Callithrix jacchus: one gene and its partner. The protein of the gene in region 1 interacts with the protein of each later gene in a biochemical or structural test. Links are inferred from orthologs where the notes say so. Each region holds a gene or a part of one and is shown in the gene's direction. Other genes may lie near its edges.

What was found.
Region 2: the proteins of CD6 (region 1) and ALCAM form a complex in vitro, tested with the Homo sapiens proteins (4 studies listed by BioGRID and IntAct). The link is inferred for Callithrix jacchus from reciprocal best matches to the Homo sapiens genes CD6 and ALCAM.

The regions. Positions count from the first base shown.
Region 1 is NC_133511.1:118,043,161-118,048,422, forward strand, and holds part of CD6 (T-cell differentiation antigen CD6), read left to right. Parts: intron 1-1,243; coding exon 1,244-1,312; intron 1,313-1,566; exon of another isoform or gene 1,567-1,707; intron 1,708-2,463; coding exon 2,464-2,817; intron 2,818-3,433; coding exon 3,434-3,745; intron 3,746-4,724; coding exon 4,725-5,027; intron 5,028-5,262.
Region 2 is NC_133516.1:96,593,733-96,598,994, forward strand, and holds part of ALCAM (CD166 antigen), read left to right. Parts: intron 1-616; coding exon 617-744; intron 745-2,272; coding exon 2,273-2,405; intron 2,406-5,262. UniProt on the Homo sapiens protein: Cell adhesion molecule that mediates both heterotypic cell-cell contacts via its interaction with CD6, as well as homotypic cell-cell contacts. Promotes T-cell activation and proliferation via its interactions with CD6.

The DNA.
Region 1 (5,262 bases):
ACCTCCTGAGTTGAGGCAATTCTCCTGCCTCAGCCTCCTGAGTAGCTGGGGATTGCAGGCACACACCACTATGCCCAGCTAATTATTTGTATTTTTTAGTAGAGACGGGGTTTCACCATGTTGACCAGGATGGTCTCGATCTCTTGACCTCAAGATCCACCCGCCTCGGCCTCCCAAAGTACTGGGATTACAGGCTTGAGCCACCGCGCCCGGCCAAATCTAGGAGCATCTTCTGGCCAAAGGAGACACAACTAGGGAGTGATCCGTGGGTCCCAGTAGGAGACAGTCAGTGAGAGGTCACCTTGAATAAACAATGTCCTTCACAGGAGAGACATAGCCTGCCTGAGGGACCTCACAGGGAGGGGCCAGAGGAATAAGCATCACATCTTCGCTTGCAGCTTCCTATCTCTGTTAGGGCTCCTTGGCTAAATCAGACAGAAACCATAAGACCCAGGAAGACACTGGTTAATCCAAAAAGGTAAGCCTCCCAGGGCAGAATGGATAGTAGCCCCTGTGGAACAAATGGACACTATTTGGCAGGGACGACTGATTTTTGTTACAGGAGCCTCCTTTTCCTAATCTGTAAAATAAGAATGCTTAATACCTGCCTCATGGCATTGTTGAAAGTAAACAGAATAATATATGCAAATACCTGGCATAGAATAGCCGTTAGTGAATGCTAGTTTCTCAGTGTCTGAAAGCACTTTGCAGTCCAGTGGTTCCCAGCCCAGGATGTACCAACTATTCTAAAGTCTGGTATGAAATTCTCAACATATTCTACAAACAAATTATTTTTTTCTAAAACACTCCCACTTTTGAGCTTCTTCTGTATGTCAAATATTTCATAGTTTGTCTCATTTCAGCCTTACAATATTTTCCTGTGTCATGGCTAACAAATTGGAACTGGCACAGAAAGATTAAGTCACCCATTCATGGTCACAAAGTGAGTTTGTAGGTCTGGCCCCAATGCCCACTGCTAGTCCTACCTGTTCTACTCCGATTTCTGAAGATGTGTGTGCAATGAATAGATAAAGCAGAGGATCCTGAAACGCCAGTGTTTGAGAACTTTCCCTACCGGGAAGGGAGGCAAATGCAAATGCACCCAAAGCTGAGGACCATGTCTTTCCAAAGGCCTCATATAGCCACCACAGGCTCCAGGAAGTGCCCCCTACTCATCAGGGTGCCTCTGTGGCCTCCACACCTGAACTCACTCACCCACTGTGCTGCTGCTGGTTAATTTCAGGTCATCCGTCTCCAGCTCCATCTGACCGGCTCAACACCAGCAGTGCAGACAGTGAGCTATGGGAGCCAGGTAAGCAAACATTCTCTCTGGGGTCCATGGTCAGCTTTCTGCAGGTGGTCGCCCAGGGTAATAAAGAAGGGCAATACACATTTAGGATACCAGGGGGGCTCCCTGACTCCAGACAACACTTCTTCCTGACTTATCACCTGAGGTTCCACTATTAATTCACTTTGAGATCTTAAAACTACCATTTTTGAGAGCCTACTGATAAGTCACATACAGATGGTCAGGTATGGCTGGAGTATTTTTTTTTTTTAATTCAGCCCCCGTAGAGACTGCCAAAAATTGCCAATGCTGACTATATTTCAAGTCGTCATGGCAGGGTATTGGGAAAAGTGTTCAATTAGCAATAATAGTGCCTCAGGTAGGCCTCATTGGCTATGATACTGCCACTGCGCAAAGCTTGGCTGGAGCATTTTAAGGGGATTTGTTGAGAACAAGCTAAAGAGCTCTTGGTGGGGGTGGCAGGGTTCCACCAGACGGGTCCTTGATTTACTCAACAGACGTTTATTAAGGACCTACTCTGTGCAAAGCTGTATGCTAGCACTGGGGGTGCAATCCTGGGCCAAAAGGGGCAGTGCTTCCCAAAGAAGGGGGTCTTGGGAAGTGAGAACCACCATCAGCTGAAGCCACCCATCTTGAACCCCACAGCCAGCCCCTTGCCCATCCTCCAGGGTTCTGTGGTCATGTGACAGCTGCGAGGACAGTACCCTCAGAGGAGGGGGGAGGGGGAGGGGGAAGCATGCACCCACAGAACCAGGGCCCCTGAACCCAGAACTCTCCCTTTCTTTCACAGAAAGGTGCCTCTAGAGACAGGAGCAAGTGAGGAGGATTGGTGCAAACTGGACCCCTGATTGTCTGTCCCCCATCTTAACCTCTAGCCCTTAACTCCTGAGCCCCACCTGCTCCTGACTCTAAGGAGAACCACAGGGTCGGGCCCAGGGATGGGGCTAGCGACCAAGTGTAGGGGTGGAGTCTAGAGGCCAGATCCAGATCAAGGCGGGCTCAGGACGAGCCAGTCCAGCTCCATTTTGCAGATTGGAAAGCTGAGACCCAGAGCCAGGCAGGGCGTTGTCAACGGTCCGCGCAGTCAGTGCCAGAGCCTGGGCGACCGCGCGCCCGGGCCCCACCGCTCTCAGTTCTCCGGTTAACACTTCCAGGGGAGCGGCTCCGGGTCCGTCTGACGAACGGGAGCAGCGGCTGCAGCGGGACGGTGGAGGTCCGGCTCGAGGCGTCCTGGGAGCCCGCGTGCGGGGCGCTGTGGGACGGCCGCGCCGCCGAGGCCGTGTGCCGCGCGCTGGGCTGCGGCGGGGCGGAGGCCGCCTCCCAGCTCGCCCCGCCGACCCCCGAGCCGCCGCCCCCGCCCGCAGCCGGGAACACCAGCGCCGACGACGCGAACGCCACTCTGGCCGGGGCGCCCGCCCTCCTGTGCAGCGGCACCGAGTGGCAGCTCTGCGAGGTGGTGGAGCACGCGTGCCGCAGCGACGGGAGGCCGGCCCGGGTCACCTGTGAAGGTACGAGCACCCCCTACCCTGGCCCCCACCTGCCCCACTGCCCAGGCCTTCAGCCCCTGCCCCTGGCTTCAGCCCCTGGACCCGAGCCTCGCCCTCCTGACCTCCACCCCACCGCCTACCAGCGCAAACGCACCGGGTTCCCACATCCGACGACGGCCTCCAGCCATTTCCAGACCTGAGCGTTTCCTCGGGTCTGGCCTCCAGACTCCACCCCTACACTTGGTCCCCAGCCCCACCCCTAGGTTCCCAATGCCAACCCGGTCTCTAACCCACTTACTGGGCCCGCTGCTTCCCTCCCCACTCCCGTTCCGGGCCTCTATCTCCACCCCTTTACCCCATACATAAACTTGCCAGGTTCACAGGTCCCTTAGTGACTCCCAGGTCCCCAAACCTGACCTCCAGGCCCAACCCACCAGGTCTCTGGTCCCTCCCACCAGCCTGCATCTCTACGTTTCCTATCTGCAGCCCTAGGGGGATTCCCAGTCTCGCCCACCAGGCAACAGCCCTCTCACTGGGTCCACAACCCGCTCAAAACTCTCCTGCCAGTCCAACCATCACCCCAACCCTCCATTCCTCGCCGAGTGCCCCACGGTCCACCACTCCCTCCCACCCCTAGAGAACCGCGCGCTGCGCTTGGTGGACGGTGGCAGCCCCTGCGCCGGCCGTGTGGAGATGCTGGAGCGTGGCGAGTGGGGATCGGTGTGCGATGACACTTGGGACCTGGAGGACGCACACGTGGTGTGCAGGCAACTGGGCTGCGGCTGGGCGATCCAGGCCCTGCCCGGCTTGCACTTCACGCCCGGCCGCGGGCCCATCCACCGGGACCAGGTGAACTGCTCCGGGACCGAAGTCTACCTGTGGGACTGCCCGGGGCTACCGGGACAGCGCTACTGCGGCCATAAAGAGGACGCGGGCGTGGTGTGCTCAGGTCAGTGGGCGGAGTCGTTGAACCATGGTCACCACTGACACTCACCATAGGCCTACCGGCGCCAAGCCTGGAGTTAGTGCGGCAGAGATGTTACCTGCCGTTGATCTGGAGTTCAGGAAGGGAGATGAGACTGAGACAAACATAACTCAGGCGAGAAAGTGGTAAATGCCCCCAAGAAAGGCAGTCAGGTGGAGTTTAGAGGCAGCAGGCGATGCCGAGCTGGAAGCTAAGGCAGGCCACCTCCTGGAAGAGGTGACATTAAAAGTGGGACTCACTTTGGGAGGCCGAGGTGGGTGTATCATAAGGTCAGGAGATCAAGATCATCCCGGCTAACACAGGGAAACCCTGTCTCTACTAAAAAAAAAACTACAAAAAATTAGCTGGGCGTGGTGTCACGCGCCTGTAGTCCCAGCTACTTGGGAGGCTGAGGCAGGAGAATCACTTGAACCTGGGAGGTGGAGGCTGCAGTGAGCTGAGATCACACCACTGCACTCCAGCCTGGGCGACAGAGCGAGAAAAAGAAAGTGGGACTCTTACCAAGTGGGAGTTGGACTCCTGCATTCAATCAGCAAGGGGAGACGAGGCAGGGAGGCCTTTAAGGAGGCTGTTGGTCTGTTCAGGAGAGGCCAGAAGGCTCTGGACCAGCCAGTGCCTCTATTTGATATGGAGGAGATGGGGTAGTTCTGATTTAGTAGGTCTGGCCCAGGGCTGGAGAGTCTGCATTTCTAAGGAGATCCCAGGCAATGCAATGCTGCTGCTGCTGCACTGACCACACTTAGGGTAGCAAGGGTCTAGAGATCCCAGCAGGGCTGGCTAGAGCAGATGGGGCAGGTTCGGGGGACACAGACACAGGAGGGAGAAGACACAAGATCTGAAGACCAAATGGCTGCACTGGTGCCTACACTGCTGGGTCTGGGCTGGCAGGAATTTCAGCCCAAAGGATCCTGACCTGACTCTGCCTCCTGCCCCTTCCTTCCAGAGCACCAGTCCTGGCGCCTGACTGGGGGTGCTGACGCCTGCGAGGGGCAGGTGGAGGTCCACTTCCGAGGGGTCTGGAACACGGTGTGTGACAGTGAGTGGTACACGTCGGAGGCCAAGGTGCTCTGCCAGACCCTGGGCTGTGGCACTGTGGTGGAGAGACCCAAGGGGCTGCCCCACTCCTTGGCCGGCCGGATGTACTACTCATGTAACGGGGAGGAGCCCACTCTCTCCAACTGCTCCTGGCGGTTCAACAACTCCAACCTCTGCAGCCAGTCGCTGGCAGCCAGGGTCCTCTGCTCAGGTAATTCATCCTACTTCACTCCCCAGATCTGAGCCAGAATTCTACCTGAATCCATGTCCTAAAAACTTACAGTCCAAGGACCACAATACGCACCAGATCAGCAACAGCACATAGGGCGTAAGAAGGACCATTGTCCTTACTGTGCCCAGGCGGACAGTGCTAATCAATCAAGGCATTTTCAGATGCTCCACTCAGACCCAGAATGATGAATCACATATGAAGATGTTAGGTGCTA
Region 2 (5,262 bases), on another chromosome or scaffold:
CTTGGCTCCAATGAACAGAACAAAATTACAATTCGTTTACAGTCCTGTTGATTGTGTCAAGGGTCTCCCAGAGTTCATAGGATTCATCTTTTCTCTTTTTTTAAAGCAGATCTACTCTCCTGCATGCCCAAATCCTTGCTGGAGTTGTTTAGCTCATGTCTCCTCTTTTTATTTCATCTGAAGTATTACTATTCAATAGAGTACAGTAGCATCTAATAGCTTTAGCTACTCGCTAGCTGATTTTTGTCCTTCCAAACTGTAAGATTCATATAATATGTAATTAAATTTTCTTATAATAAAGCCATGCAGTTTGATTGTTCCTATGGTCTTTTATGCATAAAATAATTACAGCCATTCCTACCTCAGTTAAAGACATTTTGCTAAGAAGAAATTGATTTTTATGTAACAGGGTTTCTTTGTAGTTTGCCCTAACTAAGATTAGTACTTGTATAGCAAGTAGCTATTAGCTTCAATCCGTCTATAAAAAGGTATATTTAAGCAATTACCATTACTAGCTTCTTGAGAAAATTATGTATAATTTAGTCATTTACATTGTATGCACAGAGTAATTCGGTACTTGACAAAAATGGTTAACTTGTGTCTGTGACTCTTACAGATCCTACAGAACAGGTGACAATACAAGTGCTGCCACCAAAAAATGCCATCAAAGAAGGGGATAACATCACTCTTAGATGCTTAGGAAATGGCAACCCTCCTCCAGAGGAGTTTTTGTTTTACTTACCAGTAAGTGCTTAAGTATTACTTGAGCTGGATGACGATCATTTTATCCTGTTGTCTGACTTCTGGCTGACATGAAGAATTGCACTTCATGGGTAGATTAAGTGAGGAAAAATGTTATTGCTAGGGACAAGAGACACCACCTATAAAATGTCATGTGGAAGCTTTTTCTGCACCTGCCAGTTTTTGCCTTTTTCCTCAATGTTGAGAGATTTCAAGAACAAACAAGAAAAAATAAGCTGACCACAGGAAACCATAATTGCAAAACCTTAAGGTTTAATAATCCAAATAAGCTGTAAGAATCTACTCTTCAGAAGCAGATAACTACAAAATGAAAACTGATGACAGCTTATGAACGGATGTGGACTCTAAATCTGCCCACATTTCCCTGAACACACCTCTGACCCTCTGAAACAGGGATAGTTCTGTTGCAGGTTATATTTAGAATAATGTAATGGCTGTTTTTTGTCATTATGTATAATCTTGAATGCCATTTCCTCAACTTTTCTCCCTATCATAGCTGAAGGAAATGCTATGATAGAGGATACTTTGAAAATTCCTCTCAGATGTGCTCTGCATGTCACAAGGATCTGGAAGCAAACAAGGAGAGAGCTCTGTCTTGGGATGCTTGTTTGCTCTTCCACATCCTTGTGCTTGACATCACTTTCTCCTTGAGGGAAGCCATGTGTCACTCAATGCTGCATTTTACTGCAGGGATGTGCCTACAAATTTCATCTACCACAGTACTCGGTAGTACTTAAGAATATCATTCACTACATTATTCAGAAGACTGTATAAGTAATTTCTTTATGCTGATAGAAAACTTTGTTTCCCCTAATAAATCGATTGCTGTTTTGGTTTAATTTGCAGAAGGAAGATGTAAAACTAATTAGGTTTCCACTTTGGCTATCAGGGATGACAGAGCCACATTTGCATCTCAGTTTTAGCAACAATATCTGCTGAATATCTTTCTTCGTTAACATCTATCATTCCTACATCAGCTATATTTTTCCTAGTCTTAATTTCTTTTTTATTTGTCATTTTCTTTTTTCTTCTCCTCTCTCTCTTCCTTTCCTCTTTATTTCTTTCTCATTCTTCTTATTCCTTCCTTTTATCCCTTTTGCTTTCCTTCTTTCCTTCTTTCCTTTCTTTCTGTTTTTTTCTTTTGATTTGGATATATGGCATATTTCCTTTTAAGCTGCCTCAAATATTTTTGTCAAATTACGTAAGGCATAAATCATAAAAATAAAAGACTGGACTTTTTATAAAATGCCCTTGAAACATGAGCAAAAGCCATGCTGTCAATAAATGTCACCAACAGAAAATAAATCAGCTCTCAACTTCCATAGATCCAAAATATTAACGATTTGCCCAGGAATCATGTTGGTAACACAAACTATACTCTTTTTGTGCGATCAATGAAACACATTCCCTTTTTTTCTTACCTGATAAAATGCTATCTTCATCAAGAAATACAACTGTTCTTATTGTAGCAACCAAGTGTAATCATCTGACATTTTGCCTCTATCAAAAGGGACAGCCCGAAGGAATAAGAAGCTCAAATACTTACACACTGACAGATGTGAGGCGCAATGCAACAGGAGACTACAAGTGCTCCCTGATAGACAAAAAAAGCATGATTGCTTCAACAACCATCACAGTTCACTGTAAGTCACCTATTTCTTCATCAGCAGCTTCACTTCAAAGGCTTCTAATAGCTTCATGTAGCTATCTTTTCAAATAAATTGCAGGTATATCTGTCTTAAATAATTGGTTGCAATAGATGTGATAGAGAAACAGCATCAGGATAAGCTCAACTTTTGTCCAGATTTGCACTGCAATATTGAAACTTTGCATGGCTCTGCTAATAACAACCTTTGGCAGTGGTAAATCTCCATCTTCTAAGTGTCTTCAATTTGTGGTGTCAATAAACAATATTCATATGGACCTTAAGGAAACTATATATTTTAAGAAAACATTTCCATGTTCTTGAAGTGTCCAGCTTTGCAGTTGGCCCAGAATTATCATTTATGTTACAGAATAATATTAACACCCAAACTCAGGCAATACAAAGTACTATACACTCAGTTTTGGGAACAAGAAGTAGAGACAATTAGAAGTTATTTATTGGTTGATGGTCCTCTATATAGAGGGATAGGAAATTTCTGGAAACAGAACTGTTTGAAAATCACTGTGGACATAACTTTTTAACTTTTAATTTGCTTTTAATCTCCAAATACTCCAAAAGTTATGTTTGCCTCAGAGTAACAGAAAAATACATATATAAATAACAGACACTTAACTTGAGTTCTTTATGTCCTAATTCATGACAGTCCATATTATTGATGTACCTGATGAATCATGGAAACAATAAACTAATTCATACCACACTCTGGTGACACTAGAATTCAGAGTGCTTTGAGCAAATGTCAGTCTTGCTTGGAGGTATAGTACAAACTTTCTAGTAAGTCCTTTGCACTCAACAGTACTATCAATAAGGTTTCCTCTAGACATCATCCACAACAATCCCTCTGAGTATAAAGGGACTTTAGAAATTGTCTTGAGTACATAGTTATAACTCTTTCATTTGACTCATAATACTTGAAAAACATGTGGGATCATATGTCTAAAACTCTGAGAGAGATATAAGGGGACACACTGGGGAATAAAGGAACCAGATGGTTGCTTCTGATTGTCTGATGTTGGGAGCACTCCCTTGGGAGCCCTGTAAATTTCATGGACTATTATGTCCACAGCTGGGCCATTTCTCCATTTACTCTTTGCTTATGTTGCTTGGGTTTGAATGTGTCTACCATCAGGGGCTAGTTACGGAGAAAGCAGTAGCCTCCAGTGTAGCAATATTATCCAGGCCGGTTCCATGAAAATAAAATAAAATAAAAGACAGGGAATAGAGCCAGAGGATAGAACCGCATGTGGAATAGCTCTCCGTTATCACTGTTCGTGATGTCTTTGTGCCAATAGTCAATAATCTAGTGCCTTAGAGATAGTGTGGCGTGGTTGTGTTTAAGAGATGCAAGGTACATAGGTCTCTAAAAGAAGAGGACTCTTATTTGTTTACTTGTAGATAAGGCAGAGAAGGATAGATAGCAGATTGACAAAGCAAAAAACTTGGTTACAGCCATATAGTGCCTACGTGATTAGCTGTGATGGTGGTGGGGGGAAAATTAAACAAAAGTGTGTAAAAGCCTAATTGGATTTTAGTGCATTTAATTAAATTTAAATGCATCTTGGTTTTGACAGGTAGATTGCAACATTGAGTTTTAAGGCTCTATTGCTCCTCAAAAGCTGAAAAAAAGTATTTCAAGTAAATCAACATCTGATTCTAAATTATATGGATACACAAAAATCCTATTTTTACCTACTTATCTTTGATTGCTTGCTTATTTTCCAAAAACAAGATTTGTTTCCTTTTCAAACATGTCTAAAGGAACTGTGGGTAGAGAAGCACCAACCCATTCTTGCACATGTTTGTAGAATAGACAGCTCATCAAGTCTCACAGCCTACAGATTCCTAGTTGCTGATGAACATTACTATTCTCCTGCCAATATATGCACACAGATTCTTCATCAGAGCCTTCACTGTCCGTCATTGTCCCATAAAATTGTTTTAATCTCCTCTCTGGAAAATTAGCTATCCAGCTAACAACAGCTTCTAACTCATCCTGAATAAAATTTTCATCTAAACACAATTCACCCAAATGTCCCAAGGAAACTCCACTTTTCTAAGTGATGGTACATGGTTTAATATTAATAGAAACTGAGAAAGCATGCTTCTTCCCTTCATTCATTCGACAGTAGTGTTTGAAAGTCTACCATGTGTCAGGCACTGTGCATATATCAGTGACAAACCAAGTCACAATCATTACCCTTGTGGTGCTTTCAGTCTAATAGGAGAGATGAACTTTAAAAATGTTGTTGCAGGCCAGGCATGGTGGCTCACGCCTGTAATCCCAGCACTTTGGGAGGCCGAGGCGAGTGGATCATGAGGTCAAGAGATCGAGACCATCCTGGTCAACATGGTGAAACCCCGTCTCTACTAAAAATGCAAAAAATTAGCTGGGCATGGTGGCACGTGCCTGTAATCCCAGCTACTCAGGAGGCTGAGGCAGGAGAATTGCCTGAACCCAGGAGGCGGAGGTTGCGGTGAGCCGAGATCACGCCATTGCACTCCATCCTGGGTAACAAGAGCGAAACTGTCTCAAAAACAAAAAAAATGTTGTTGCAATCAACAAATTGCAATTATAACATGTAAAACAAAGAAGAAACACGGAGTACAATGGCAAGTATTCGTACTACAGAAAAAAGATGCAACTCTCAGTGTGGCAAGCATGGTCACCTTCAGTCTGAATTGTATGAGTTTAACTTCATGAGTTGTCACCACTCATACCCAATTATTCACCATTGCAAAATCTGCCAAGCTCTCCCATCCCTTTGCCTTTGTTTATGTGACAAAAGTCCTTACATCTTCCCCTATCAAAGTTCTTCTCTACCATCAGGGGCCAT